4 linked regions of the Tamandua tetradactyla genome follow. The protein of the gene in region 1 interacts with the protein of each later gene in a pairwise test. Links are inferred from orthologs where the notes say so. Each region holds a gene or a part of one and is shown on either strand. Other genes may lie near its edges. The genes, in order: STK16, KCTD14, MIIP and RPIA.

What was found.
Region 2: the proteins of STK16 (region 1) and KCTD14 interact in binary tests that used the Homo sapiens proteins (3 or more experiments, as listed by UniProt). The link is inferred for Tamandua tetradactyla from reciprocal best matches to the Homo sapiens genes STK16 and KCTD14.
Region 3: the proteins of STK16 (region 1) and MIIP interact in binary tests that used the Homo sapiens proteins (3 or more experiments, as listed by UniProt). The two-hybrid records come from large-scale screens. The link is inferred for Tamandua tetradactyla from reciprocal best matches to the Homo sapiens genes STK16 and MIIP.
Region 4: the proteins of STK16 (region 1) and RPIA interact in binary tests that used the Homo sapiens proteins (3 or more experiments, as listed by UniProt). The two-hybrid records come from large-scale screens. The link is inferred for Tamandua tetradactyla from reciprocal best matches to the Homo sapiens genes STK16 and RPIA.

What each region holds. Positions count from the first base shown.
Region 1 is NC_135329.1:194,982,177-194,990,195, forward strand, and holds the start of STK16 (serine/threonine-protein kinase 16), read left to right. Parts: upstream 1-5,004; 5' UTR 5,005-5,109; intron 5,110-5,462; 5' UTR 5,463-5,566; coding exon 5,567-5,652; intron 5,653-6,229; coding exon 6,230-6,449; intron 6,450-6,714; coding exon 6,715-6,848; intron 6,849-7,015; coding exon 7,016-7,136; intron 7,137-7,260; coding exon 7,261-7,356; intron 7,357-7,777; coding exon 7,778-7,899; intron 7,900-8,019. Other genes in the region: GLB1L (beta-galactosidase-1-like protein), read right to left, coding at 2,556-2,616, 2,790-2,940, 3,192-3,358, 3,543-3,611. UniProt on the Homo sapiens protein: Membrane-associated protein kinase that phosphorylates on serine and threonine residues. In vitro substrates include DRG1, ENO1 and EIF4EBP1. Also autophosphorylates. May be involved in secretory vesicle trafficking or intracellular signaling.
Region 2 is NC_135334.1:66,655,435-66,662,780, reverse strand, and holds the start of KCTD14 (BTB/POZ domain-containing protein KCTD14), read right to left. Parts: upstream 3,016-7,346; 5' UTR 2,949-3,015; coding exon 2,880-2,948; intron 1-2,879.
Region 3 is NC_135328.1:213,403,188-213,411,120, reverse strand, and holds the start of MIIP (migration and invasion-inhibitory protein), read left to right. Parts: upstream 1-4,933; 5' UTR 4,934-4,934; coding exon 4,935-5,045; intron 5,046-5,445; exon of another isoform or gene 5,446-5,526; intron 5,527-7,586; coding exon 7,587-7,766; intron 7,767-7,933.
Region 4 is NC_135343.1:62,580,945-62,587,846, reverse strand, and holds the start of RPIA (ribose-5-phosphate isomerase), read right to left. Parts: upstream 3,007-6,902; coding exon 2,719-3,006; intron 1-2,718. UniProt on the Homo sapiens protein: Catalyzes the reversible conversion of ribose-5-phosphate to ribulose 5-phosphate and participates in the first step of the non-oxidative branch of the pentose phosphate pathway.

The sequences.
Region 1 (8,019 bases):
TCTAGTAGGGGAGGCAGATTAAAAAATATACAGGATGTTAGGACCAAGGATAGAAAAAAAGGACAGAGGATATAAAATGTTGTAGGGGAGGGGGCTTAAATTTCATAGAGGGTGGTCAGGGATGGCCTCACTGAGAAGTTGGTTTCTACAGGAAGATAAAGGGAGCACCACGTGCAAAGGCCTCAAGTATGACAGGCCTTTGTGGCTGGTGCCCTGTGAACAAGAAGGAGAAGACAGGATGTTAGGAAGTAACTGGGGTCAATTATATAGGGCCTTGTAGATCATTTTAAGGAATCCATGGCTCGTATTCTGAAGAGATAGAAACCTATTGGCAAGTCGAATGGAGAAGTGGTATGAACTAAGATACGTATTTAAACATTAACAGTGTTATACTGGCTGCTGTGCTGAGAACATGCTACATGGAGGGTGGGGGTGGGGCAAAACAAGGGAAACCAGTTAAGAAGCTATTAAAATAATCCAGGTGAGAGAGGTGGTTTGGACCAGGCTGATGGCAATGGGAGTGATTAAATGTAGTTGAATTCTGAAAGTATTCTGAGGATACAGCTGACAGGCTTTTCTGATGGAATAAATGTGAGGTGTGAGAGAAAGGCATAAGCCTGACCAATCAGTAAATGGAGTTGTTACTATCTGATATGAGTTGATTGTAGGAAGAGCTGATTTGGGGAAGCGATATCAAGAGCTTAGTTGTATCATTAAGCCTTTCAGATTTCCAAGTGGAGAAGTCAAGTAGGGAGTTGGATAAAAGTCAGGGGAAAAGACTGGAGATACACAGTAATTAAATTTAAAGTGATGAAAATAAATGAGAGCATCTGGGAATGATTTATTTCTAGAAAAGGGAAGGGTCCAAGGACTGGGCCCTGGAATAATCCAGCATTCAGCTGTATGCGAAATGGAGAAAAAGAGTCTATGGAGTGGTCAGAAAGATGGAGGGGAGTGGGAGAGACAAGATAAGTGTGATATCATGAAAGCTAAGAGAAGAGTACTTCAAAGGACAGACTGATCACCTGTGCTGATGCTGCTGCTTGGTCAGGAAGCATAAGGCCTAAAAGATCACCATGGATTTAGTGATGTAGAGGTCATGGTTTTGTTGAGAAAAACAGATCTCTTGTTCGTACTCCATCAATCCTTGATCATTTACAATGTATTTTATGGACAACTGAGTTTGGAAAATGCTTTGGTGAGCATAAAGCACGCCAACACTCAAGGAAGTAAAGCAGCCCCTGGAGAGTTCCCAGCAGATTTAAGGTATTTTGCCAGAGTGATCTTCTAAAAAGGTAAAATCAAATCAGTCATTCCCTTGCTCTTATGACTTCCTATTTTCATGCAGAATGAAATCCAAACTCCTTGAAATACTGAGCATTCTCAGAGCTTAATCCTGAATTCTCATCTTTTCTCTCGCTACACTTACTCCCCAGGTGAGATCTCATGGGATTTAAATGCTATCTGCAGACTGATGACTCCCAAATTTATCTCTCTAGCTCAAACTTCTTCCCTAAGTTCCAAACCCACACATCCTATTGCTTATTTAATATCCTCACTTGACTATGCCACAGATAATGAAAATTTAACATGACCAGAACAGAACCACTGTTTTTCTCTTCAAAGTTGTTCCTCTGCCACCACTAGTCTTCTCTGTCTTCCCTATGTCAGTTAATGGTACCACCATCCTGACTGGCCAGAAACTTGATTCCTTTCTTTCCGACCCTCCACCTTCCAATCAAAATCCATCAACAAGTCCTGATGATTTTTCTTACCAAACTATCTCCCAATTCTGCCCTTTCTTTTCATCTCCACCATCATCACCTTAATACTGGCTACCACCGTCTCTCTCCTCAACTTCAATCAGAGTCTCCCAATTAGGTTCTTCACCTCTATCTTACTTCCTCAATTCATTCTCCCCATCAGAGCTAATAAATCAGATCATGCCATACCAATAGCTTTCTACTGTACTTAAAACTCAAACCCTTTATTGTGATCTACAAGGTCCTGCATCAATTGTCTCTACCTTTCTCCAATGTCATGTTATACTATGCTCTCCTTCACCCACTATGCTCCAGCCATTCTGCCTTTTCAGTTATTCAATCATGTTCTTTCTCATCTTGGGCCTTAGAACATACACTGTACCCTCTACGTGGATGTTTTCATCTCACTCTTCACATGACCAGTGACTTCCCTTCCCTGAGGTCAAGTGAAATGTTTCTTTCTCATATAAGCCTTTCCTGACTACCCTACTTCTCTGTTATAGGCTATCTCAACTGTCTGTTTTCTCATGTGGTAATTTTACAGCTTGTGATTAATTTATTTATAGGTTTAATTTCTAAAAACCTGTCTCCACTATTTTATAAGGTCCATTTCATAGGAACTGGGTCTGTCTGTTGTGCCAGTTTCTAGCATCCTGCTGGACAAGTAGGAAACAATAAATAGTTGAATGAATGATCTCCAATTTGGGCATAGTGTTTCCTGTTTCTGGAACCCAAGTGACTCACGTTTTGTTGTTTGCTTTTCTCTGTGTTAAATCTTTTGCTTCAACTCACCTGGATCTGAGGTTCTCAGATGAATTTTAGGGTTTCGAAGCAACCAGGATGGGAGACCTCCCTGAGATAGACAAAAAAAACAACAAAGAAGAGTGTAGGTTTTGTTCTGCGGTGAAGTGGAGGAGGTAAGAAATTGAATGTAGTGCTGGAAGTGGCCCTAGAGCGTAGACAAATGGCAGTAGTCTAGGAACTGCACATGGAGGTTTGATTTTATCCCTTCTCCAACTAACTCACCATCTCCCACTCTGCACAGATGTAAGGTCCTGGTCTCAGGATGACGAACAGGTTCGCTAGAGCAGTCTCATGCAAAAACGCAAAGAGGTCCCGGCTGCCATTAAAGTTATAGACCCCAGGCTCTGGCTCATGATAGTTCCAGGGCACGTAACTGAGGAAGGAAGAGTTTAACAGGGCCCAAGGTGGGGAGATGCCAGGGAAACCTAAGAGCCCAGGCCCTGCAGGAAACTCCAGGATGCAGCTGGAAGGTGGTCCTTGTCTGTCCTTTCCCAATCTTTACCTGGGAGCCCAGGAGTCCCAACCACTCTATATTGAGTTTGTCTTCTTGCCCAACCCCATTCCTAAGGAAGCAGTATGGAGAGTAAATCCCGCCCCTCCACGGCTGTCACAAGCACTTCTTACAACTGTACAGCATTGAGGCCGCTCATTCGCATCTTTAATAGTCGGTCTGCCCAAAGCACCCGCGGTACCCGAAAATAGTGCATGCTTCCAGACACGTAACGGAACGGGACCCCGTCAAGGAGGAACCTGTCATTATACAGATCCACTACGAACGACCGAGTCTCTACCTGCAAAGCGAAGGTGAGATGGTGCTTAGCAGACATCTGGAGTGGGGGTCAGCGTCTGCCCAGAGCGGGGAAGATGGAATTAGCCCCGCCCATTGTCTTGTTATTACTTTTACTTTCTCTTCATCTGCCCGGTCTGATCCTGCCTCACCGCACCAGGCGGGAGAGTTCAACACTCCAGACTTACCTGGGCCCGCAGCAGCATCAGGAGCGGCAGTAGCAGGGAGGGAAGACAGGGCGGCTTCTTGGGAGCCATGGCGCTTACAGGGCTCCTCTAGTCTGAGACGGCGATCCGACCGTCACGTGGCGGATTCCTGGGAGGGAACTTCAGCGAGCAAGGGGGCGGAGACCACCCCAAATTGCCAGGCGGTTAGCCTAGACTTTGTTTCCAACCTTGCAGCCACCCGCCACTATAGTGGATCGTAAAGTTCTCTATATCTTGCTACTTAAAAGTGTAGCCCACAAACCAGCTTCATCAGCGTCACCAGGGAGCTTGTTAGAAAGGCAGACTATCAGGTCCAACCTCAGACCTATGGAATCAGGATTTGTATTTTAACAAGATCCCCAGGCGATCCTCTGTACATTCTAGATTGAGAAGCACCTCTCTACTATACTGAGCACCCTGAGGGCAGGGAGTGCCTTGTTCTTCAGCTTTAAGCACAGAGTCCAGCACATAGCAGGTTAATCTAGATGAGTGAATGCCAGAACCAAGGGAAATCGTAGGAAAATCTTCCTGATGACTGGGCATATGAATGGGGGAAAGCAGATTACACAAGGGATCTTTTTCTTGGAGGGGGCTGTTTCAGCAAAAGGGCCCATCCAGGCCATTTCATCTTCTTATCCCTGCCTGCTAAAGATGTCAGGGACAACTGCGTGGTGCTAAGATTTTGGAATTTGGGAATTTCCAAGCCTAGGATGTGAGGCCCAGGATACTTAGTATTATTATTATTGTTTATTGACACTTATTGAGAGCTTTGTGTCAGATATTGTGCTAAAGAACTGACATCTCACTTTATCCTCAGATAATTCTCTAAGGTAAATAATTATCATTCCAGTATTACAGAGGAGGAAACTGAGGGACAGAAATATTAAGTAAACTGTCCAAGGTCAAATAACTAGTTTAGTAGAGCTGAGATTTGAACTGGGCAGTTTGGCCTCACGGATCATGCAGTTAACCTTGGGTCCTACTATACCTATTTTAGAGCTAGTAAAGAGAGGCTTGAGAGGGGTTAAGTAACTTGCCTGAGGTGACACAGCTAGTAGGCTATTAAATCCGGATTTGGATCCTGACAGTGTGGTTCCAAAGTCTGAGCTCTCTTAATCACTAAGACTAGGGTAGTGAGATACAGTCCCCAGAGGCTGAATTGTTATCAGAGTTCCAGGAATCCAGCACTCCAGCACCCACCCCTCCCTGCGCTTCTGCAGCTCTCTGGTCCCAGCACGCCGGACATTTCAGGTCTCCTACCTCGGGCATTGGGAGAAGGAGGTCCTGGGGAACCTAGGGCTGGGCCCGGCTTTGCTCCCCTTTGACGCAGGTGCCTGCGTCTTGACCCCTACTGAAGGCCAGGTGGGGACCCTCTCCCGGGTCTTGGGACCCGTCCTCCCCCAGGTCTAGCCCGCCACAGGCCTCTCAGCTCGGCGCCTCCACATCTTCCGGGTACCCAGCCGTTGCTAGGATACCGCCGGCCGTTACGCCCGCGCGGACTGATGATGCAACCACTGCTTCCGGACTCTGGAGCTCCTGCCCGGGCCAGGTCAGTGGGGAGTCGCGACTAGCAGCCTATGCAGAGTTGGGGCTGGGTCCTGTAAGGGGTGGGCGTCAGGCTCGCACCTCCCCCGTAACTACTCGGTACTCTGACTTCGCGCCCGAAGGGCGTGGGAGTGGGGGCTGTCTAAAAGTAGATACGATTTGGAGGAAGCGGCCTGGTAACTGCTGCGTGGTCTGATGTTTTAAAGCTCCTCACCGCCGTCTTCTTGGAGCTAGCGTTGCCAGGTCCCATTTCCTCAAATGGGAATATAGGTCCCTGGACTTGGACTCTCCGCGTTGTTAATTCGGGGCCACTTGTACTGTGCCGGGCCCGCGACCCTGCCGTTCTATTCCTTCCAGCATGATTCGCTGGACCCCCTGCATATCGCCTGGAAAAACCCATTTACCCTTGATGAACCCTTCGGCAGCCTCAGACCGTCCTTGAGGAGGATGATTGAGACACTATGGGCCACGCACTGTGTGTCTGCTCTCGGGGCACTGTCATCATTGACAATAAGCGCTACCTCTTCATCCAGAAACTGGGGGAGGGGTAAGTGCTTGAAAATCAGTTTCTTGACTCCCAGAGTGATGGTGGATGAGGAACACCAGTTCGCTCGTGATAAGGGTACAAAAGCTTTATCCCCATCCTCTAACTCACCTGACAGGGCCTAGCCATATGGTCATCAAGAAAGTGGATTCTGGAGTCAGGCCTCCTAGATCCACCTTGTGTGGCCTTGGTAAGCCATGGTTTCTTTGTTTGCCTAGTGGGGGACAGTTATCATGCCTCACTGATAGAGTTGTGAGGATTAAATAAGATGATGCTTGTAAAATGTCTAGTGCAGGGCCTGGTGCATAAGCAGTTGGTAAATGTTGACTATTTTTCATTTCCTTGTTATTGAGCATCTTCATGTACAGAGCACGTTATGACCACAGGACCTAAAGGTGGTCATATCTCTGCTCTTGGGAGGCTCAAAGTGTAATAGCCTTGAGATGTCTCTTAGAGCCACATCTTGGGAGGGTTGCTACTAAAAGAGAAATACACCCCCTTCCTCTTCCCAGGGAATCCCCTCTGGGTTCAGGCAGTGTGGGAGATGACCGTGGTCCTTCACTGACCCTTTGGCCCACAGTGGGTTCAGCTATGTGGACCTAGTGGAGGGGTTACATGATGGACGCTTCTACGCCCTGAAGCGAATCCTGTGTCATGAGCAGCAGGACCGAGAGGAGGCCCAGCGAGAAGCAGACATGCATCGCCTCTTCCATCACCCCAACATCCTTCACCTCGTGGCTTACTGTCTGAAAGAACGGGGCTCTAAACAAGAGGCCTGGCTGCTGCTACCCTTCTTCAAGGTCAGAAGGACTCCTAGTTATGGAGGGGTTTCAACAGAGCCACCTGCCAAGGGCTGTGTGAGCAATCAAACATGTTAGGAAGCTGGGGCCATGTTCAGACTTTAGCCACTTCAGATTTGGGTTTTAGAGGAACCCAGGTGGTACTGTGAGGGTTTGAGGTGTATGTGGAGAAGGGGTTGATAGGCTTTGGCATAGGGAAAGGGTCATGTCCTGGGAGCAGAGAACTTGGAAGTCATTTCCAACTGCGGGGAAAACTGTGTTACAGAGAGGTACGCTGTGGAATGAGATAGAAAGGCTGAAGGACAAAGGCAAGTTCTTGACTGAGGATCAAATCCTGCTGTTGCTGCTGGGTATCTGCAGAGGCCTCGAAGCCATTCATGCCAAGGGTTATGCCCACAGGTTAGTGGGAAGACCCTGTGTACCTGCTGGGGCAGAGGGGAAGAGCCTTACCAGGAGAAATGGGAGGTCTCTGTTTTCCTGAGAAACAGCCCCATGATTCTTTTGCTCTCTAGGGGTCCAGCCTCCCTGTCCAGGGGTGGTCACAATTCATTTCCACTTCCTTATAGAGACCTGAAGCCCACCAACATCTTGCTTGGAGACGAGGGGCAGCCAATTTTAATGGACTTGGGTTCCATGAATCAGGCATGCATTCAGGTGGACAGCTCCCGCCAGGCTCTGGCCCTACAGGTGAGAGTCTCCTGGTTCCTTTGCCCATGTGTTCCCTATCCCCAGCCCTTTTTGATATATACCCCAATTTAGCACTGGACCGTGACCTGTGCCTCACTTTTGGGCTCTGGGGCCACTGTTCCAGGACTGGGCAGCCCAGCGATGCACCATCTCCTATCGGGCTCCAGAGCTCTTCTCTGTGCAAAGCCACTGTGTCATCGATGAACGGACTGACGTCTGGGTAAGGAGCATGTGGGTAGAAATCTGGGCAGGGGTAGAATGCTGCTCTGTACCCACTGGTGGTAGAGGAATACGTCTTTGGTTTCTACCACATGGGGCCTCAGGAACCCTGGTATGTCCCCATCCCCCCTTGACTTCCTTCCTGGGAACTGTCAGTGATACCATACTCAGTTGTTCAGGAAGTGATATAATCCCTGCCCCTGAACAGGGTGGATACAGCTAAGTACCAGAACTGAAGGCAGTAACTAGACAAGGAATGCAGAGGCTTCCAGCTAACTGACAGTTTCTCTGGGCCATGGTGGTGCCATGTGGCTGAGGTTGGCGTATTCTTTTTTGACTTATGCAGCTCCTTTCTCTACACTAGTAAAGAAGGGATATCACCTTCATTGGTCCATTCTAGGGAATAACCAAGTGGTGCTCAGTCCCTAGGCTGTGTGCTGTATGCCATGATGTTTGGGGAAGGTCCTTATGACATGGTGTTCCAGAAAGGTGACAGTGTGGCCCTGGCGGTACAGAACCAACTCAGCATCCCGCAAAGCCCCAGGTGAGCTATAAAAGGGGCACCAACAGTGAGTAAAAAAGTATTTGCAGAATCTCTTGGGGGAATGGTGAGAAAGAGGGAAAATTCAACTTCCCCAAGTGGAGAATTCTTGATATTCTTACA
Region 2 (7,346 bases), on another chromosome or scaffold:
TGCTGGGGAGAATTGCGTTTCCATGGCAACAGCTCCTACCAGGGGACCGTTCTGCTGGCTGGAGGGGAGAAGGGAGAAGGGGAAAGGATGCATCCTGACAGCAGCCAAACAATATAGCCATGAAGAAAATAAGCTCAGGGCTGTGTAGCTTGCTGTTTCTCCCATAAAGCTCAAGGTCCCTTGACAAGATTGTTTGGTTAACCCTGAGATCACCTCTGTAAGGCAAGCAGTTAAATGCAAAGTACCAGATTTTAACCTTTGAATGGATCGATGTGGTCTCAGCATTTCTATCCCATGGAAGGCTCACCGGCTCTCAGGCTCACCCGCTCTCTAGACGTTCCCTTAATACAGATGAGGAAAGCTCTGAGAGAAGAAGTGATTTGTCCAGGGTCACACAGCTAGGAAGTGATGAAGTTGGAGCTGGGATCAAGCCCATATCAGTCTGATTTGGAGCTCCAATGCAGCATGGGGTGCTATCTTACACCCACCGCTTCTAACATCCAATCCCAATTCTGCAATAGTTTGTGGCGTGCCTGGGGAAGTTCACTTTCCCTCTCTGGGGCTAAGCTTCTTCATCTGTGAAATGGGGAGAAGTGGACCAGAAGAACTCTAAGTCGCTTCAGCTCTGAAAGTCCAACAAATAAAAATCACTTCAAATATCCTTTTTGAAGCTAATTTCCGAGGCTTTGCAAAATAGCTTCCTGCCCTGGCGTCCTCAGCTCTATTTCTTTGTTTATCAAACAAGACCTTAGCTCTGTTCCCAAGCTTCTTAATTCTGCCCCTCTTCCCTCCTTTTATCCCCAAACTCCCAATCTGTTTGCAAATCCCAGACCTCCTCTCGCACCCATAAGTACTGCAGTATGTTTCTAGCAGATGAAGACTTCTTTTCCGTCCTTCTTCGGGACCACCTGTCCTTCCTCACGGACCCTCTTACCCACCTTTACACCTGCACACTGCTAAAGCATTCCTGGATGGGAAAGCCTGTCCAGGCCCTGCACTCTTCAGGATTTCTGTCTATGGGTTGGGGGAGGATCTGCTGGATAACTGAAAGGCACTTCTCCCAGGACATTTATTCCACAACCTCAGAAATGAGCTCCTGCTTGATGACAGGTCAGAGCTAGCTATGAGGACACAGGATTGAATAAAATAGGCCAGCTTCCCCTAGATGCAATCTAAAGGGTCTGCACCACCTGCCCCAAACTTTCATACGCTTCCTTAGGTCATCCTCAACTAGGGTCAATGCAGGGACACCTCCACCCAGATATCCAACAAGCTCTTTAGAATCTCTCCCCACCCCACAACCCTAATCTCTTGCATTGTTCTCTATCTCAGTTGCCAGGGCCAGAAACAGAGGCATAATCTTGCTTTTCACTCCTGCCCTCGACCTCTCCCTGCACAATCAATCACCAAGTTTTGGTGATTCTATTTGCCTGGTCAGTTCCAAGTCTCCCTGCCCCCTCTAGGGCCCTCCCCCAATCCATTTTTCACTCTGAAACCAGAGTACCCTTTCCGAAGTGCAAATCTGATCCTGTCACTCCCTGCATTACGTGCTTCAGTGACTCTTCATTCCCTTCCAGATAAATTTCAAACTCCTTAACAGGGTTTATAGTGCCCTTTGCTTCCACCTGCAGCAATCAGCTGCCAGAACCACAAGCTGCCACCCGCCAGCCCCCAGGCCCCATCATGCTGAGTAGGCTGGGCCCCTTGGCCTCCAGAACTTCACTGCCTGCCACCCACGCTCCCTCCCTTCACTTAGCCCACTCATCCTTCAAGTTAATTCCTCGTACAATCTTTCTGGATGGCTCATCTCCTTTGTGATCCCAGAAGGTTACTACTATCATGGAGATATTTCTCTCATAATTCCCTGTTTGTTCATCTGTGTCCTCATTAGAATGCGAGATTCTTCAAGGCAAGGCCTACCCTGGATTCATCATTATGTCACCAGTTCCTGCTACAGAGCTCAGCACACAGGGGATGCTCAATAAATGTTTGTTAAATTGAATTGAGCTTACCCTTAGCCCTGATTTATGGGAACACTTGGCGTTCTGATAAAGGCCAATCTTGCTCTGTGCCCAGGGCTGGCTCCCTCTCTGCCTGGCAATTCACTCGGACATTTACTGAGCACCTAGGGCAGTCCTGGCACTAAGCGGGCAACTGTCACTAGCCAACAATGACGTTATTATCACCCTACTGGAAAAAAGCCATACTCTCCCTGTTACTGGATCTTCTTTCCCTTCCTCCAGGTCTTCAGGATGGCACTTGGCCCAGGGAAGAATGTTCTGCTCCTAGAGTTCACTGGTCTTTTCCTGATCCTGCCTCCACCCCAAGCCCAGGGAGAGGGCAGGTGAGCAGAGGGACTCAGGACCCAGCCAGCAGGCAGAGGCAGACTGGAGGTGGAGTTGGGAGACGTGATCTGCCTGACCCACAGCGGGATCCTTCTCTCCCACCCGAAGAAGGGGTGACAACAGGAAAGAGGGAGAGGCAGAGCAAGAGAGGTGCAAGAGACAAGCCAGGGGACTAAAAGTGGAGCCACACAGAGAGCAACTGAAAGACCGAGACGAGAGGGAGGAGACAAACAAAGGCAGCTAGGGAAGAAGGAGGGAAAGTAGGAGAGGCTGGAAGATCCGGGAACAGGAAAGGTGATCGACGCGCGAAAGGAGAGATCAAAGTATAAAAGGCAGCTAAGGAGAAAACTAAGCTAAGAAGCTCCCAGCCAGAGGTGGAGACAGAGCTCGCCGGAAGCTGGGGGCTCAGACCCGGGGGAAGGACGGACGGGGGCAAAAAGGAAAGGAATGAAAGAAAACAAAGGCGGCGGGATAGTCCAGGGGATAGGCGCGGGGACAGTGCGGGCCCCTGCCAGCCCGGGGGCGCGCACTCACCGTGGGCGAGCCTGCGGGGGACACCGGTCGGCCGGGCCGCGGGGACCGGAGCGCCGGGGACAGGCTCATCGTCCTGGGGTTTGCAGGGCGCAGCCAGGCCAGCGCCCGGCGTCCCGCCCAGCCGCGCCACGTGCAGGGAACCCGCGGCCGGCGGAAGTGCACCTTGCTCCCCGCCCCGGGGTGGCGGAGGCTTGGGCGCCGGGTGTGCTCACAGCCCCGGGCTAGGCCCGGGCTCCGCCGGGCTTGCGGTGGGACCCTATGCAAGGTACTGGCCTTCTCTGGGCACAGGACGAATCGTCAGTCGAATGGGGGAGGCGGTAGGAATTGGCAATTGGCAATGTCACCCGAGACTTGCCGCGAGGTGAAGGATCAGCAGCACCCATTTTATAGAGGAGAAAAGTGAGACTCGGAAACACACAGCCTACCTTCCAGGGCGGCTGGCAGGAGTGAGACGCAGTGATGAAAAGAGTTGACTCGCCACTGAATTGTATACTTGAAAGTGGTCAAAATGAGAAAAAAATTATGTTGTTTATAATAAAATCTAAAATAAATAAAAATCTAAAGACAAAAACAAAACCGATAAACTGTACAACCCAAAGTGTGAACCCTAATGTAAATTATGGACTTCAGATAATAATATCATTATAATAATATGGATACATTAGTTATATAATAATATGGATTCATCAGTTGTAACAAATGTACCACACAAATGCAAAATGTTAATAAAACTGTGTGGATGGGGGGTGGGGAGGTGGGAACTCTACTTTCTGCATGATTTTTTTGTAAAACTACAACAGCTCTTAAAAAAAACTTAGTATCTCTTCTGTATGGTTATTTATTTTTGACAATATGAAAATCCCCTATTTTCTTTTTTAAGCGCAATTTTATTGAGATATATATTCACATACCGTATAATCATCCAAAGTGTGCAACCAATAGTTCACAGTATCATCATATAGTTGTGCATTCATCACCACAATTTTTGAACATTCTCATTAATCCAAGAAAATTTTTTTCAAATAAAAGAAAACCCAGACCATCCGACCATCCCTTATCCCTTATCTTATTTATTTTTTGTCTTTATTTTCTTACTTATCTATCCATACACCAGATAAAGGGAACGTCAGTCACCATGTTTTCACAATCACACAGTCACACCTTAAAAGCTATATAGTTATACAATTGTCTTCAAGAATCAAGGCTACTGGAATAGCTCAACAGTTTCAGGAATTTCCTCCACTAAGAACTGAAAAGTATATCGATACAGTGCGTAAGAATAACCACCAGAATGACCTCTCAACTGCATTTGAAATATCTCAGCCACTGAAAGTTTATTTTGTTTCCTCTCTCTTCTCCTTTTTGGTCAAGAAGGCTTTCTCACTACCATGATGCAAGGTATATACCGTATATGAAGGGATGAAAATGCCACTTTACTTCTGTGATCTTCCTTCTAAATCCTCAAAACCTAGTCTAACCATGAGAAAACCAGTCTCATCATGAGGAAAACATCAGACATTATATTATATTCCAATATAATGGCATCCTATAAAATACTTAACCAGTATTCCTCAAAACTATCGAGGTCATCAAACACAAGGCAAGTCTGTGTGATTGTGAAAAACTTGGGTCTGACGCTCCTTTTATCTACCTTATCGACAGATAAGTAAAACCTATGGATTAAAAATAAAATAATAGGGGGAACAAATGTTGAAATAAATTTAGTAGATTGAAATGCTAGTGATCAATGAAAGGGAGGGTTAAGGGGTCTGGTATGTATGAATTTTTTTTCTGTTTTCTTTTTCTTTCTTTTTCTGAATTGATTCAAATGTTCTAAGAAATGATCATGATGATGAATATACAACTATGTGATAATATTGTGAGTTACTGATTATATAACAAGAATGGAATGATCATATGGTAAGAATGTTTGTGTTTGTATGTTGGTATGTTTAATAAATTTTTTTTAAAAATTAAAAAAAAAACACAAGGCAAGTCTGAGAAACTGTCACAGCTAAAAGGAGCCTGATGACACGTGAAAACTAAATGTAAAGTTGTGTCCTGAATGGGATCTTGGAACAGAAAATGGACATATTAGCTCATTATTGTAACAAATGTACTAATCTAATGGAAGATATGAACAACAGGGAAAAGTGAGTGCAGGGTTTATGGGAACTCTTTGTACTATTTTCCCAATTTTTCTGTAAATCTAAAAATGTTTTTTTAAAAAGTCTATAAAAGTTTGACAGTTTAAAAATGAAACAACATAACCAACTGATATATGATAAAAAAATAAATGAAAAATAAATTTTAAAAAGATAAGGCTTGGGAGTGAGACAAATCGAGGATGGACTCCTGGCCCTGCCACTTACCTGCTGTGTGACCATCTGTTACTCCACCTCTCTGAGCATAAATTGCCTCTTTTGTAAAATACATGTGAAAGTACTTATTTTCCTAGGTTCCTGTGAGGATTAAATTAAGTGAAATAATCTATGGTGTTTCCCAGACTTTTCTGATAGTAATATTTGCCTGAGGTGCTCGTTAGACATCGTTCCTGGACCTAACTCCAGCTACTGAAACCGAATCTCCAAGGGAGGGGCCTGCAGTTTTTAATGTTTTACTTCGAAATAATTTCAAACTAACAGGACAGTTGCAAAACTAATATAAACCTGATACAGAGAACTCCAACATACATTCAGATATCCAGATCCACAAGTTTAACATTTTACTACCTTTGCATATCATTCTATTATCTATTTCCTGAATATTTGAGAGCATTTTGCAGACATCACAATCCTTGAATACATAATACTTCCATGTACATTTCTTACAAATGTACATGGTTCAGTTATGTAACCCCTTAAGTGCAATTATCAAGTTCAAGAAATGTAACACTGATATAAAGCTTGCTTTCTGTATTCCATTTTTCCTTATGTTTCAGTAATGTGTCCTTCTTAGCCTTTTACCCCCATTCTTAGATCCCATCCGGTATTATGTGTTTATTTAAGTGTCATTATCTCTTTAGTTGTTCTTTCTTTTTGTTTAATTGTGGGCAATCCCTGTCCCTCTCCGGGCCCCAATTTCTCTACCTATACATGGTGGAGGTTGGGTGTTGTCTGAGATGGTCCCTGCAATTCCCCTTCTGCTTGATGCTATGGCAACAATAGAATTCAAACCGCTCCTTGAAGTCGCCAACAAAATGGATCTTGTTTCCCCTTGGCCTTATTCCAAGAGCAAGCACTGCTTCCCTTTGCCTTCCTCCCCTCACCTCTCTCTTTGTTCTTCTGGCGGAGACAAAACTGCCAGCCCCTCTCTTCTCTAGGCAGCTGGGCTTTGAGCCAGCCAGCTAAGTGGCAGATGTGACTCAGATGAAAGGGCCCTCAGAAGGCTGCCTGTGGCAAAGTGCCCAGCCCAGCCCAACCCAGGCCTGGCAGCCCCGGGCCCAGCTGTCCCACGCGGCATGCTGCCCACAGCTCCCACACAAGGCTCCCTTTGTGAGTCCCACGGCAGGGGAGACCTCTGCCAATCCTCAAAGACCCTCTTCCCTTCCCTTTGCTCCACACCCACTTAAGAAATATCCAGGTCTTTAGAAAATGGTCCAGGGACTGAACCAAACTGGACTGACATCGTGCCAGGCACTTTGGAGAATTGTATCCCATTTAATTTCCAGAACAACGCTGGTGGATATTGTCACCACCACCAACAACAACAGATATTGTCATTTCCTTCTAGGGAGGAGGAAAACAGATACCTGAATACCTACTACGTGTCCATCATGGTGCTGGGTCCTGGGACAGACCTGTGAACCAGAGTCCAAGAACCCGACCTGGCGGAGCTCACTGGAGCAGGGACACAGACTTTAATCAAATGACAAGACAAATAACTAATCCGTTACACGGTGTGATCAGTGCATTGAGAGGAAAGAGCAGAGAACGATCACATCCATCATGGTGGACCTGTTAGTGGCGAGCAATCGAAGGCTGGGTGGGGCTCCTCTAAGGGTCGGGAGGGCAGCGCAGGGGAGTTGAGGAACTGGGAAGGTGAAGTCCTGGACAGGAGAGAAGGAAGAGTGTCTGCTTTGACCACCTTTAGCTGCAGGCAGCCTCTTGATGGGAAAAGCCACATTGGAAACTCCAAACAATCTAGGGCCTCAGTAACAAATTAGTGTGTGTCCTTCACCCTGCCCAGCCTCCCTCTGGAAATTCTGTATTTAGGAGCAAGTCCCTTTACCTCTGGAAGCCTCACATTTGTCACCCATAATGCCCCTGCAGAGTTTCAGGGAGGAATCCAGGAGGCACTGTTACAGTTGGTGCCAGACACAGCCCAGGTACAAGAATGCCCATCCCTGGAGACCTTTATGGGGCAGGAAGTATGGTGGGCTTCCTTTTGAAGTCCTCCACCTGATTAGACCCCAGATCCAGCAAGCTCCCCTCTGAAGGGAGGTGGCAGCAGGAGCTTCTGGGTCAA
Region 3 (7,933 bases), on another chromosome or scaffold:
AGAAATTGCTGCCTCCACAAGATTGAATCAGGATTAAAATATGGCTTTTCGGGGGTGTATCTACTATTTTCAAACCGGCACATTTTTGCTAAAATGTTAAGAATTTTTGCATCTATTGGCATGTAGCTTTCATTTCTTGTAATATATTTGACTCTCAGGGATCTTTGGTATCAGCAGGGTAGTGCTGGCTTCATAAAATGAGTTAGGAAGTATTCCTTCCTCTTCAATTGTATGGCAGAGTTTGTGTAGAATTGGCATTATTTCTTCTTTAATGTTTGGTATAACATACCAGTAAAGACATCTTCGTGCCCGAGTTCTCTTCTCATCCATGAGGTGGTCAGAAGGAAGTACAAGTCCACAGGTGCGACCTGAAGGAGAGACACTCCTGCAGCGGTGGCAGGTGACATGGGAGCCTGGGCGACCTATTCAAGTAATTTACTTGTGCCTTTTGGACCGGGTCAGACCCGATCCTGAGTATGCCATTCCATTTCTACCACCCAATGGTCTCTTATACCCAGCCTGACCATAAGTCTTAGTAACTCTGACAATACCAGCTCACTGCAGTGCCAGAGTCATTTGGTGTTCTGTGTTCAGGTGTTCTGGCTACCTAAGGGCTCAGTAGCATGCCACAGCTGTTTTGTTTTTTTTTCAAGCAGAGCAGCCATATATAACAGAAGATATGGCTTTTATCCAGAACCTAGGGGGTCTGTGTTGCAACTCTCTTACTGAGGCTTGTCAGAGACTCCATGCTGCATCTTTATCTGCCATGAATACCTCTAGCACCAGCTTTCATGAGTCCCTTCTTGCTCCAGATTCTATTCAAACTGGCAGCTGTGTCACTCCAGAAAGGGTCATAAGATTTTTCCCAAGAGAAACATGTTATCTTCAGAGTCAAAGACATTCACTAAGCACTTCTCTTTTTCTTAGTAATTGGAGGGGGAAGGTGCCACAATCTTTGACGTTGGAGGGCTGTTGCAACACGTTCTAGACACTACACGTAAAAATCATGGGATTTACTCACAGCCATCTGGCCTCTAAGTCTTCCTAGGAACACCTAGGGTAGTTGCTACATCCTATTCACTAAATCTAATTAGCTTGATGTTATCAGTTTCATGAGGCCAGCAGCACTCAAGGTCCTAAATAGATTAGATTGTGAAACAAAGTCGGAGGGTTTTATGGCCCTGAGTCAGGACTGTGAGCGCACACCACAGTATTTGCCTTGGGAATGGAAATCAATTTGACTCCTCCCCGCTGAGGGCAACTGAAAAGAGAGCATCCCTTAGCATTATAGCTGCAAATCCAGGGCCAAAGGCTGCGCTGTTCTGCTCCAGTAAAGAGTCCACATCTGGCCTCCACACTGGGACCACTGCCTGCTGTGGTCTATGAGCCATGCGGCTGTGTTTTGCAGGGTCAAGCAGGTGAAATGAGGGAGGACAGGATGTGGGCCAGCACCCCCCATACCCTTCACAACTCAGAGCAGGAAGAGGGAAAAAGCTTCAGGGGGTTCTACTTCCCCTCCCTACCTGCAATAGATTAAAGAGGTGGATTCCATTTCAACTCTAGCTTTGAATCTAGACCGCCTTGGTAACTTGCTTAGAGCAACAGAAAGTGAGGGAAGTGACTCTGTGCCCATTCTGAGCCTGAGACTTACAAAGGTCTGGAAGCTCTGCTTCCGTGCTCTTGGGATCCAGCCCCCGTGGAGGAAGGATGGGCTAGACTACTGAAACAAGCCAGGTGGAGAGAGACCCAGGAAGATGGGAGGACAACTTGGATATCCCAGCCCCAGCCGAGCTCCCAGCTGGAGGCAGCCACACGATTGAGCTCAGGAGAGACCAGAAAAGCTACTCAGCTGAGTCCCAGTCGGTCCACCTGTGACATAATAAATCTGTGTTGTTTGAAGTAATTAAGTTTTGGGGAGATTTTTAGCGCAGTGATAGATAACTGAATTGCCTGCCATAATGGCCCTTACTCCACAGATCAGGGAACAAATATGAAGGTTCCGCCAGCTGCTCAGGCTAGCCACCCCATCTATGCCTATGGGAACTGGGAAACAGTCACAGAGTGTTCTAGTTTGCTAGCTGCCGGAATGGCTTTTGAAAAGGGGAATTTAATAAGTTGCTAGTTTACAGTTCTAAGGCTGAGAAAATGTCCCAGTTAAAACAAGTCTATAGAAACGTCCAATCAAAGACATGCAGGGAAAGATACCTTGATTCAAGAAGGCCGATGAAGTTCAGGGTTTCTCTCTCAAGTGAGAAGGCACATGGTGAACACAGTCAGGGTTCCTCTCACATCTGGAAGGGCACATGGTGAACATGTCATGATCTGCTAGCTTCTTCTCCTGGCTTCCTGTTTCATGAAGCTCCCTGGGAGGCGTTTTCCTCCTTCATCTCCACTGGCTGGCGGACTCTGCTTCATGGTGCTGCAGCATTCTCTGCTCTTGCTGAATCTCTTGGCTTTCTCTCTTGTCATTCTCTTTTATAGGATTCCAGTAAGCTAATCAAGACCCACCCAAGCTGGTAATCCATCTTAACAACCACTCTTTTTTTTTTATTAAGTGTTTAATTTTTTTAAAAATATAACAACAAACAAATGCAAACATTCTTAACTTATGATCATTCTGTTCTACATATATAATCAATAATTCACAATATCATCACATAGTTGCATTTCATCATCATTATCATTTCTTAGAACATTTGCATCAATTCAGAAAAAGAAAAAGACAACAGAAAAAAATTCATACATACCATACCCCTTACCCCTCCCTTTCATTGATCACTAGCATTTCAATCTAAATTTATTTTAACATTTTAACAACCACTCTTGATTGAGTCACATCTCCAGGGAGATGACCTAATTACAGTTTCAAATATACACTACTAAATAGGGATTAGAAGAAACGGCTGCCTTTACAAAATGGGATTAGGATTAAAAGATGGCTTTTCTAGGGTACACACATCCTTTCAAACCATCACACAGAGCAAGTCCTGAAACCCACCGGACCCATAGAGATGGACTTGAGTCCAAACTCCATTTACCTCCTGGCCTCCATAAGCTTCCACTCCAGCTGGAGGGCCACGATGGTGTTTCAGGTCTCCTGGAATCAGTGTCAGCTCAGACTCTATACCTTAGGGTCTTTGGAAATTCTGAGTAGTCCACTTTTCCCATTGTACATTTTTCTGGCAAATGGCCACTGGCCCCCCTGCAGGAATATTTTCTATAGGTACCTGTGGTGGTATTGCACGTTCCTTTCTCAAGGAAACCAACCTTCCCTTCAATGAATGAGCTCAGTCTGAGAACTGAGTTGAATTTGGGCACTGGATGAGGAACCATGATTTTCCACCCTGTAGATGAAGTCAACCTTCTGTTTTAACATTTTTCAAGTTGAGCCATATCATGTTGACTGTCCATCTATCTGACTCCTAGGAACTTCATCATCTAATCACTGTCACAGATAACTGTAAGTTAAGAGACTCTCACTGCCACTCCAGCCCTGCAACCTCTTATAAAGTCTATCCTGCCTCTGGCAGTTATGTGATGGCTCTTGGCCTCTGCCATTCCCAAATCTCATCATCTCACTGATCCTAGGGAGGCCAGTGCCACGACAGCATCTGTCCCCATCAATCCCAACCTCTACAGCAGCCACCAGTGAGCTTCTCAAAGTTGCCAGGATCCCCTTATCAAGTTATTTCTTTTTGCCTGCCTTAAAGGGAATGTTCTTTGGACCTTCCTGAAAACACAGTCGGTTGGTAGGTTCTCAGAATGTACCTGGTAAAACTGTTCTTACATCCCTACTACCCTGAGACTTCTGACCCTTTCCCCAGTCCTATGCCAAGGAAGCGCTGGCATCTGCACCCGATTTACTGTAAACCATCACCACGTGCAAGCTGCCTGGGGCCGTCTCAGCAGATTCCTGCCGCCTGTTCAGGTGTCCTAGTCAGAACACTGGATCCCAAGTCATGGATGTGTGCCCCGTGGCAATAATTCTGTATTCAGATTTAAATTTGATACCACCCCACCCCACCCCCAGCATCCTCCAAGTGTATTCCCACGTCAATTTTCCTGCTTCTTTTTTTCTTGATGTTACGTATTAGTCAAGTCCTGCAATCCCTTTGATTCTGTAAGCAAGGCTTTACCTCCATCCTTGAACCGTGCAGGAGCTGACCCTGTTTATTGTCTAAGAGGCAGAGAGGGGTGAGAGTAGATCTAAATTTTATTTTCTTAAAAAACTGAGGTCTAATTAGTTCTTTCTCTAGTATTTAATGGCTGTGGGTTTCTGGGCAAGTCACTTTGGTATTTCTCCCAGCCTCGAGATTTTTGTTTGTTTTTCGGCTCTAAATGGCGACAGCATCACTCTTCGCAAAGCTTGGTTTCTAAGGAGAGGATGCATTGGCACAGGGGCTCTCCGTGTAAGCTGGCGCATATTCTACAGGCTGGATCACAGGTGTTCAGGTTCAAGTCCCACCCCCGCCTCCGCCCGCCCCCGTCAGGAACACCTCTTGGTTCTTCTCCGCCTCCCAGACCTTCAGACTAGATGCCCAATCAATCTCCCTTTAAAGAATGGATGCATAGTCGGCACACAGCAGGGAACTCGATAAATACGTGAACAGACGAATAAAAGATGAGGTCTCCAGCTCGCCCCGCCGGTTCCCACCCGCCAGCCTGGACACCAACGCCGCACCGGCCCACGAACCTATCGCTCTTGAACGTGCCGTAGCCGCCGGCCTCGGGCAGAACCAATCGGAGCCCGCCTTCCGGGCTCCCGCCCCGTTTCGAAAACCGACCCTCTGTACGCAGCCACCGAAGCTGACCAATCGGCTGTTGAGCCCAGCTGTTTATCCCGCCCCGCTGTTGAAACTGCCGCTTCGGAACGCGGAGTAACGCTGTCTGGAGCGACCGGCCCCGCCTCCACATCTGGCCAATCAGGGCCGCTAATGCGAGGCCCCGCCCACGCTCGGGCTCACCGCGTTATCTGCTGCGGCGGGCGGCGCTGTCCCGGCTTCCGGGTTGTGAGTGCGGGACCGGCGGGGCCGGGGAATGAGGAGGTGGGGCTCCGCGGTCGGACCCGCGTGCGCCCGCCCGGATGGTTCGGGCGGCCATGGGGAACGAGAGGGAGGGTTTCTTCTCCGGGTCCTGCCCCTGCGTCCCCAGGCACTGCCTCTTTCCCTCCCCCAGTTTCTCTTCGAACCTCACCTTCCGTTGCGTTTGTGCAGTTTTTGGTTTTCCTGAGCGCGGCTGGACCCTCCAAGGCCGTGCGAAAACGGGGACCCTCGGACTATAGGGGTTCGGCTTGGAGTCGCTTGGTCGTTCAGGGTAGTGGTCTGGACTCCCCGCCTGCGGATCAGGCTGTGTCCCCTGGTTCGCACCTCCACGGAGGCGTCTATATTCGCACCTCCGCCGCCCCCCACCCCCACCCCCGCGGGGGCACGTGTAAGGAAAGGGGTCGTTGGCTGACTCCTCTGCCCCAGCTCCGGCGGGAGGGCCGACAGCAGGACGTGTGACCCGGCCCAGCATTAATATGGGACGGTGCGTTTTGGGGGAAACGGTTTTCGGGTGTAGGAGTTTGGGCCTTGGGGTTCGGAGAGAGGTGGGAAGCCTCTTCCCCCACCCTGCAGAAATCCCTTCCACAGAGATCCTGGATCGCTGGGCAGCCAAAGGCTGGGAGAAGGAGAAAGAGGCTTCCCAGGCGCCTCTCCATACTGCCAGGGAAAACCTGGAGTGCCCTTGGTCCCTGGAGGCAGATTTGGGTTCACATCCTGACTTGGCCACTTGGGGCATGTTCCTTAGCCTTTCTGAACCTTAGTTTCTTCATCTGTAAAAAGTAAGGAAAGAGGAAAAGGAGGGCAGAAGGAGGGAAGAGTCCCCCGATTCTGCTGGATTCAGACATTGTAATGCTTTGCATTTATAGACTTGTACTAATTGCTTCCTATAAATTAAGCTGCTATAGTTCCATTTTAAGATTGTTAAGGGGGGTTACTTTTAGTAGGTAAAGGAAATGCACCTGCCAGACACTTATTGAATGTGCCAGGCACCGTATGAAGAATTTAACATGAACTACCCTATTTGATCCTTATGAGGTAGAGACTTATCATCTCTGTTTGGCAGATGAGGAAACAGGAGGCACAAAGAGGCTAGATAGTTAGCCTGTAGCTGAGGCTGCACAGTTAGGGAGAAGCATGGAGGGGATTCCTCACCCTATGCCATGCTCTCTCTCTCTCTTTTTTTTTTTTTCAGTATTTTAACATAATTATATTACAGTTAGATAGTATTGTGCTGTCCATTTCTGAGTTTTTGTATTTAGTCCTGTTGCACAGTCTGTATCCATTCAGCTCCAATTACCCAATATCTTACCCTATTTCTACCTCCTGATGGTCTCTGTTACCAACAAAATAGTCCAAGTTTATTCACTAATGTCAGTTCCTATCAGTGAGACCATACAGTATTTGTCCTTTTGTTTTTGGCTAATCTCACTCAGCATAATGTCCTTAAGGTCCATCCATGTTATTACATGCTTCATAAGTTTATTCTGTCTTAAAGCTGCATAATATTCCATCGTATGTTGTGAAAACCTTGTGTCTGATGCTCCTTTTATCTACCTTGTCCACAAAGAAGTAGAACATATGGAATAAAAATAAATAATAGGGGGAACAAATGCTAAAATAAATTTAGTTTAAATGCTAGTGATCAATGAAAGCAAGGGGTAAGGGGTATGGTAGGTATAATTTTTTTTTTCTTTCCTGTGTTCGTTTTGTTTCTTTTTCTATTGTCTTTTTATCTTTTTATCTCTTTTTCTGAATTAATGCAAATGTTCTAAGAAATGATGAATATGTAACTAAGTGATGATATTGTGAATTACTGATTATGTATGTTGTTTTATTTTGTTTCTTATTTTTTAATGAATAAATAAATTTTAAAAAAAAGTTAAAAAAAAATATTCCATCGTATGTATGTACCATAGTTTGTTTAGCCACTCGTCTGTTGATGGACATTTTGGCTGTTTCCATCTCCTTGCAATTGTAAATAACACTGCTATAAATATTGGTGTGCAAATGTCCGTTTGTGTCTTTGCCCTTAAGTCCTTTGAGTAGATACCTAGCAATGGTATTGCTGGGTCATATGGCAATTCTATATTCAGCTTTTTGAGGAACCACCAAACTGCCTTCCACAGCAGTTGGACCATTTGACATTCCCACCAACCATGAATAAGTGTGCCTCTGTCTCCACATCCTCTGCAGCACTTGTCATTTTCTGTTTTGTTGATAGTGGTCATTCTGGTGGGTGTGAGATGATATCTCATTGTGGTTTTGATTTGCATTTCTCTAATGGCCAGGGAAGTTGAGCATCTCTTCATGTGCCTTTTGGCCATTTGTATTTCCTCTTCTGAGAAGTGTCTGTTCAAGTCTTTTTCCCATTTTGTAATTGGGTTGTCTTTTTGTTGTTGAGTTGAACAATCTCTTTATAAATTTTGGATACTAGACCTTTATCTGATATGTCATTTCCAAATATTGTCTCCCATTGTGTAGGTTGTCTTTTTACTTTCTTGATGAAGTTCTTTGATGCGCTGTACCATGCTCTCTTAACTTCAGATAGAAGAACTGGGTCTAGAACCAGCTCTGAGGGTTCCCTGTGGGAAGCTGGACGATATATGGAAGATGCTGGAGGCTGAGGACACGGTGCAGCTGCGGCAGCTCAACCTGGAGCTTCTGAGGCAGCTGTGGGTCGGGCAGGACGCCGTGCGGCAAGCTGTGGCTGAGGCAGCCTTTGAGGTGGGAGGCACTGGTGGCATCTCCAGGGGAAGGGGCTGCTTTACCTGCAGATCAGAATCCAGGTCTCCTTGTCCAGAGAGGGGAGGGGAAGGGGTGGCTGGCCTGGACACTGCTGGGGCTGAAGCAGGGGTGAGGACCTTGGCTTTTGTGCCCAGCGAGGCCATCTG
Region 4 (6,902 bases), on another chromosome or scaffold:
GATGTTGGGAGGTCATTCTGGAGGTTACTCTTAAGCAGATATCAGGGCATGCAAGGCCTCCAGCAACAATGTTCCTGAAAACCCTAAGGATATCCAAACACCATAAACAAACCACAAGATAAAGAATTCAGTTAACTATTTTTTTAACTTTTTTTATTAATTAAAAAAAAATTAACAAACAAAACATTTAAATATCATTCCATTCTACATATACAATCAGTAATTCTTAATATCATCACACAGTTGCATATTCATCATTTCTTAGTACATCTGCATCAATTTGGAAAAAGAAATAAAAAGACAACAGAAAAAGAAATAAAATGATAATAGAGAAAAAAACTATACGTACCATACCCCTTACCCCTCGCTTTCATTTACCACTATTGCAAACTGAATTTATTTTAACATTTGTTCCCCCTATTATTTCTTTTTATTCCATATGTTCTACTCTTCTGTTGATATAGTAGCTAAAAGGAGCATCGGACATAAGGTTTTCACATTCACAGAGTCTCATTGTGAAAGCTGTATCATTGTTCAATCATCATCAAGAAGCATGGCTACTGGAACACAGCACTACATTTTCAGGCAATTCCCTCCAGCCTCTCCACTACATTCAGTTAACTATTTAATCTGAAAGATAGCTGGAGTACCCCCAAATATCCACTGACCATAAACAACCTGCATAATCTTTCCATGTGAAAGCCCTTGCCTGGAAATGCCAAGGTGGGCCAGGATTCGGTTGCTACGTGAATCTGTGCCGAACTGCAATTCTAAGACCCCAAATGAATGCCTTTATTGCCTTGAAGTTTAGTTTGTTATTTCTTGGTTGACAGAAGTAAACCTCAATACACTCAGGCACACCAGCACCTACCCAGACGAGACCAAGGGGATCCCATTTTGCAAGAGCCCACCCCAGAGAACATGGAAGGAAGGCATATTAGGGACATGAGCTACAGACTCATATAGGGAGGCTGTATGACAGGGGCAGAGCACTTCCTGAGTAGAAAGGGAAAGAAAGGCCTCTCACAAAGGCAGAGCCATATAAGAAAGGAGGAAGACACCGATTAGCAGACAAGAGGCAGACCACTAGCAAGTACAGCTCAATCTGATCACAAACAGAAAGACAAGGTCAGGAACCAACCGTCAGGAAGTTTAGTTCGGAGGCAACATCCAGGGAACAACCTCCTGCTAATCTAAGGCAAAATTAGTAGAAACCAAAAGCAGGCAGTTACCAGGAAGTTTTATAAATATTGATACAAATTACACCTCACGACAACCCCTTAAAACCTAGAGATCTACTATCCTTATCTTGGAGATGACTGCAACACAGTCTGGAAACATTTAAGACCCTGAAGTGAGCAAGAGCTTACAGGGTATGTGTTCAAGGAACTGCTGGAGGCTCCACCCTGAATCTAAGGGGTGTGGGCCTTTGTCTTTGATTAGCCTATTTTACAACTCTAAGGATTAAGAGCAGAACATACAAAACTCAGCTGATCTTGGTACCTCAGGAAAGAAGCTGGCAGGGAAACTGGGTACAACTGGGGTGGGGTGAGATGCAAGTGTTTCCTGGTTCTAGTCTGAGGAGGCAGCTTGCAGTTTTTTCATTTAACCAAACACATAGCTATAAAACAATGATCCTGGAAGCATATGCCACCAAATATTAATATAAACAGGTTATCTGGAAAGCTTAAGACTTAGGGCTTCTCTTCCAAGAGATTTCATTTATCTGTCTACTACCAATTCAAGGTATCCAAAACCTTCTGAAATTTCAGTTTATTATCCGAGGCCATGAAGCCAAACAGAGGGCCAGATTATAAATATTACATTATCTCTGTGAATTCTCCTAAAAAATCCTCTCACTAACCAGGAATGCCATAAGCTACACCAGAAAGGCGAAGGTACGGGAGTCACTCCGTTTGAGGTCTCCGGGACCTTCGGCCACTCCACAGGTTACCACACTGGTTCTTTCCGCTTAAGCTATTTCAACGCTCAAGCTTTACCCAATACTAAACCACTTTACACAGCAAAGCGCTGACAAATGTAAAGAACTATCATTACGGGAGACAAGGGAACCCAGTACCACTTTCTAAGTAAAACAGGGGGTGAGAGAAAGCCAAAACGGCCAGGAAAAACGCCACTACAGGGCACAGGTACTCCATTTGGCTGCAAAGTACTATAATTAACTTAATTGGTGATAAATCCACCCGGGCTGAAAGACGCCACTAACAGCACCTGGATCTCACACCTAACAACCTCACTCTGAGGGAGAGCACCCGCCAGACCTCACGGGCCCGCCGGGTCAAGGAGGGAGGTTCGAGCGCCCGAGCGCCGGGTCTCCAGCCTTGGTTCTGCCGGCCGGCACGTGCCACGCGGGGAATCGACTAAGAAGAACTTCAAAGACTCGCGAGCCAGCCGTCCGCAGGCTTGCCGGCAGCCCCAGAATACGACCATTTTCCTTTGCTGACCCAGGCGGCCAGTCCCTTCTAGCCCGCGTCCCAGAGACCCGACACCACCAGGTTCCACTTCACAAACTGTTGGCCGGCCTGAACACGGAGCCTTCAGCGAGCTCAACTTCTGGGGAGCTCGCCCCCAACCCACGATACATCTAAGAGCTGGGGAAGACACCGCACGCCCCCTCCCCGCGCACGTGCAACGGCCGTGCCCAGGGAGCGCACGACGAGCCCACCGAGCTGGGAGCAGGCGCCCCGCGCGGCTCACCCTCACGTGGTTCTCCACAGCCGCGCGACCCGCCAGCCTTTTGGCCTCCTCGGCTTTGGACATCGTGGAAGGGGCAGAGAAGACGCGACCACCACCGCCCCTGCCACGAGCACCCGGACTGCCCGCGCCGCCGTGAGGCCGGGAGTCCGCGCGTCCCAGTGGATGCACGTGGAAGCCCGGGGCGCCCCAGCTGCTCGCGCCTCCGCCCGAGGCCGCGCCCCCGGCCCGCCCGGGCAGCGGGGCCAAGACCCGCCCGTAGAGGGTGCTGAAGGGCCCGGGGCGCTGCATCCCGACGCCGAGCTCCCGCCTCCGCCGCGATCCCGCCCTGGCTCGCCCAGTGTCTGCCCATGCGCATAGCCCGCTCCCACTGCCGCGCCGGGCTCCCCGGGAAATGTAGTTCTCGGGGCCCCGCGGTCCGTAGCCGCGCTCTCACCGGAACTACCAGCCCCACGGTGCTCCGCGGCTGGTGCGCAGTTCGCCGGTTGCCGGCTTCCGAGGCGGGCAGTGCGACCCTGATGGCTGTGGTCTGAGCGTCGTGCCTGCCTTTCTCCTGGGAAGATATGTTTGTTGTTGGATGCATCTCTCTGATCTGTGCGCCCGTGCGGACAGGCGTGTTGGAGCGGACACATTAGCTTTCCCAGCACTGAAGACCTGTCGTGGTCGAGACCTCAGGGCAGTGGCTCATTTGGAGACGCTCTTAGGCCCCAGCGCCGGCTGAAATCCGTCCTCAGACCCGGCAGGCGCAGGACCACATGTTCCGAATCTCCTGCCGTAGACGTTGCATGGCGTGCTTCGCCCTGGTGGAGTTGGCCCATAAGTACAAGTGTGACTTGCAGTCCTTGGAGACTCGAGAACTAACTGAATTTAACAACTCTCTCTCCTCTATCGTTAAGATGCTTAGGAAATAGTTAAGGGTGGGAAATTGTTACCGTCCCTATTTTACAAGCGAGGAAATTGATGCTTCCGCAACCATACCGACCACTTGGAGGTCCTTAAAAGCACGTGACTCTGCCTTTGTACTGCTGGTCCTTGTTGGTGAAATCCCATGAACTCGCCTTCATACTCTTGTCCAGTATGGACCGCTGTCGCCGCCCTCATTGCCTCAGTTTTCTTTACTGTGCTGTCAGCCCCAGGTCGTCCACTTTGGTCTGCAGAAGGAAAAATTCTTTGAGGCGATGTTTAAATTCTTGACTTTTAGGTGGAATTCAGAGATTAGCAGGATAAAATATCTGGACCCTACTTCTGTGGGTCCCTGCAGAGTTGAAACTTTTGACCTTGCTGAAAGCCCTTGGTGCCAGTCTTTTCCCCGTTCAGGCACCCTGGGTCCTTAGCACACATACGAAGAGGTTGGTAGATCAAGTGTTAGTGTCCAGTCTTTACCCTCTAGCCTCCGAGCCTTTCACTAGGACTTCCCACCACCTGAAATGCTCTTCTTACAACCCCCCCACCCCCCCCACCCACCGCACATCTTTGCACTGCCAGCTTCTTCCTGTGGGTCAGGCGCAGCTAAATTGACACTTCCTTAAGGAAATCTTCCTGACCACTCCATCTAAATTAGGGCACCCACCTAGCCTCTACCACTTTACCTATCCTAAAACTGTCCTTGTTCACTTCTTTGGTTTTGTACTTGCTTATCATCTATCTCCCTCTTTAAAAGCATCTCTGAGATGGTTTTTTCTCTTTTACCTACTGCATCTTTCAGTCCCCTTAAACACTGACATGTAGATGGCACTCAATAAATGTCTAAGGCATGATGCAATAATAAATAGATTTTATGCCTCTATTCCACACTGTACCTTCAGCCATATAGAATTTCCGTCTCCACAACCTGTGCTCTTACTTCCATGTCTTTGCACACCCTGTACACCTTTCTTGCTCCCGGAGTTCTTGGAGACTCCACTCAGTTACTACATTGCAAACATGAACCCTGCCATCGTTGGGTTGGGTACTCCCTATGTGCCCCCAGACACCTTGTACTCTGCCATTATTATCTTGCTCTGTTCACTTGATTTTCTCACTCAAAGGACTACAGTCCCTTGAGGCAGTTCCCCATAGGATGCACAGTGCATGGCTCAATACTTCACAAGTGAGTAATGTCCTACAAAGGTCCACCTGTTTGGGCTACTTTGTTTCTCATTTCTTCTTGTCTCCCTTCTCTCTGTCCACATTCATGTCTTCATTCCTTCCCCCTTTTAACCCTCCTTCCCAATATAGTTATCCCCTCATTAGCTTGTCTATCAGAATATCAGAAGTCTTGCCCCACCTCTTGGGAGAGGATTTGAGAAAGAATGTTTTACAGCATTATACTACAGACCAAATTGCTTAGGTTCACTCTCTCCCACTCTGTCACTTCCTGCTTTCCCACCTCCTTTCACTCTCCCTTCCCTCTTTCTGTCCTCCAAAGTGTTGATTTTGAAGGTGATTCACAGGTAAAACGGTAGGAAGCTGCAAAGCAGATGTTGGGATGGATTTGAGCATCTTGGGAGAGATTGAAGTGGTGCTGGCTCAAATTCACTTCAGGCTAGAGCTTGAATTACCCGTTTATTCAGCACCTAGACCAACTTAGAAACAAACTCAAGCTACCCCACCCCCACCCCATACCCTTGGAATAATCTTTTGGAGCCTCAACATGTGCCCTTTTGTTCCGTGAGGGCTGGTTTATTGTCTACTAATAATTTTGACCAACCATTAAGGCCTTGGGAGAGCCTGGGGCCTTATTATTCCTGGTGAGCCTAATGATCAGAATGAGTCGTGGTTAACATTTTAGTGTTATAGCCTTACTCTGTACTTATCACTGGAAAGCAGCATAATGCTGCTTGCTTTATCAAAACCAAGTCTTATTGATGGCTGACCAAGCCCATGGTCCTGAAGAAAATGCGTATAGAACAATTCCTTAGGGCTATGCAGATCATTCCTTAGATATACGTCAAGCTACCAGTGGTGGATTATTTGTGCACCCCACTTTGGACATGCTGTTGGTCTTGATCCACAGTCTGGTGTTATTTTTAGTTAAGGTGCGGCCAACTGAATCAGTTTGGGTTTTAATCTGGATTACTGGAGTTCCTTAAAGCAGAATAAAATTCAGACTTAGAAAAAGCCACAAGTAGGACCCAGAATCCAGGGGTGAAACAAGACATGGCCAAATGACGGAAAAGCCAAGAACCAAGGATCAGGGCAGGCAGCCCCAGAATGACAGTCTTCTGGGAGAGAACATTGCCTTGTTGAAAACATTATTTTTCCATCATTGTAGACTTCTAGCCTCAAAACCATGAGCCAATAATTTTGTTTGTTTATATGTTTGAGCCGACCTATTGTATGGTATTTGTTTTAGCTGCCAGGAAAACTAATATACTGCCTTTTGATATTTTTAAAATAGGGATTGTTAAATGGGAGTGATTTGGTCCCTCAGGGGATATTTGGCAATGTCTGGAAACAATTTTTTTTAATTAGAAAATAGTTTGTATTCTCTACATACAAAGTATTCTCTAAGTAAAGGTTAGAGAACAACAAATATTTTTTTAATATAAAATATAAAAATACAAATATATTTCTCCCATTTTTTGCTGGTCTTTTGACTTTGTTTATAGTGTGCTTTATATACAAACATTTTATATTTTAATATTGTAATCATCACTAATTTCTTTGCCAAAGTCATGAACATATTCTCCCATATTTTCTTCCAATACTTTTGTGTGTTAAGGCTTTTACTCCATCTGGACTTTAATTTTGCGAATGGTAGAAATCTGACTTTATTTTTTTTAATTAGATTAATAGCTAACTGTCTTACTATCTATTGACTAATAGGTTCTTTACCTGTTACTTGAAATGCTACTTTTATTGTATCTTAATTCCTTCATATACATGAAATTTTAGTTTCCTACTATGCCTGTAACAAATTACGTGCAAACTAATAGCACAATTTTATAATCTGATAGTTCTGGAGGCCAGAGCGTGAAATATCTCACTGGGCAAAAATAAAGATGTCCTCAGGGTTGCATTCCTCTGGAGACACTATGTTCCTGCACTTTCTCCTGCTTCTAGAGGTTCCTTGCCTCCATGGCTCATAACTGCTCACACCATTGTCTGATTTATTTAGTAGTTTGAGTTTTTTCCCCCTTATTAGAGAAGTTGTAGGTTTACAAAAAAAATCATGCATAAAATAATGGATCCCTAAAAATCACCTA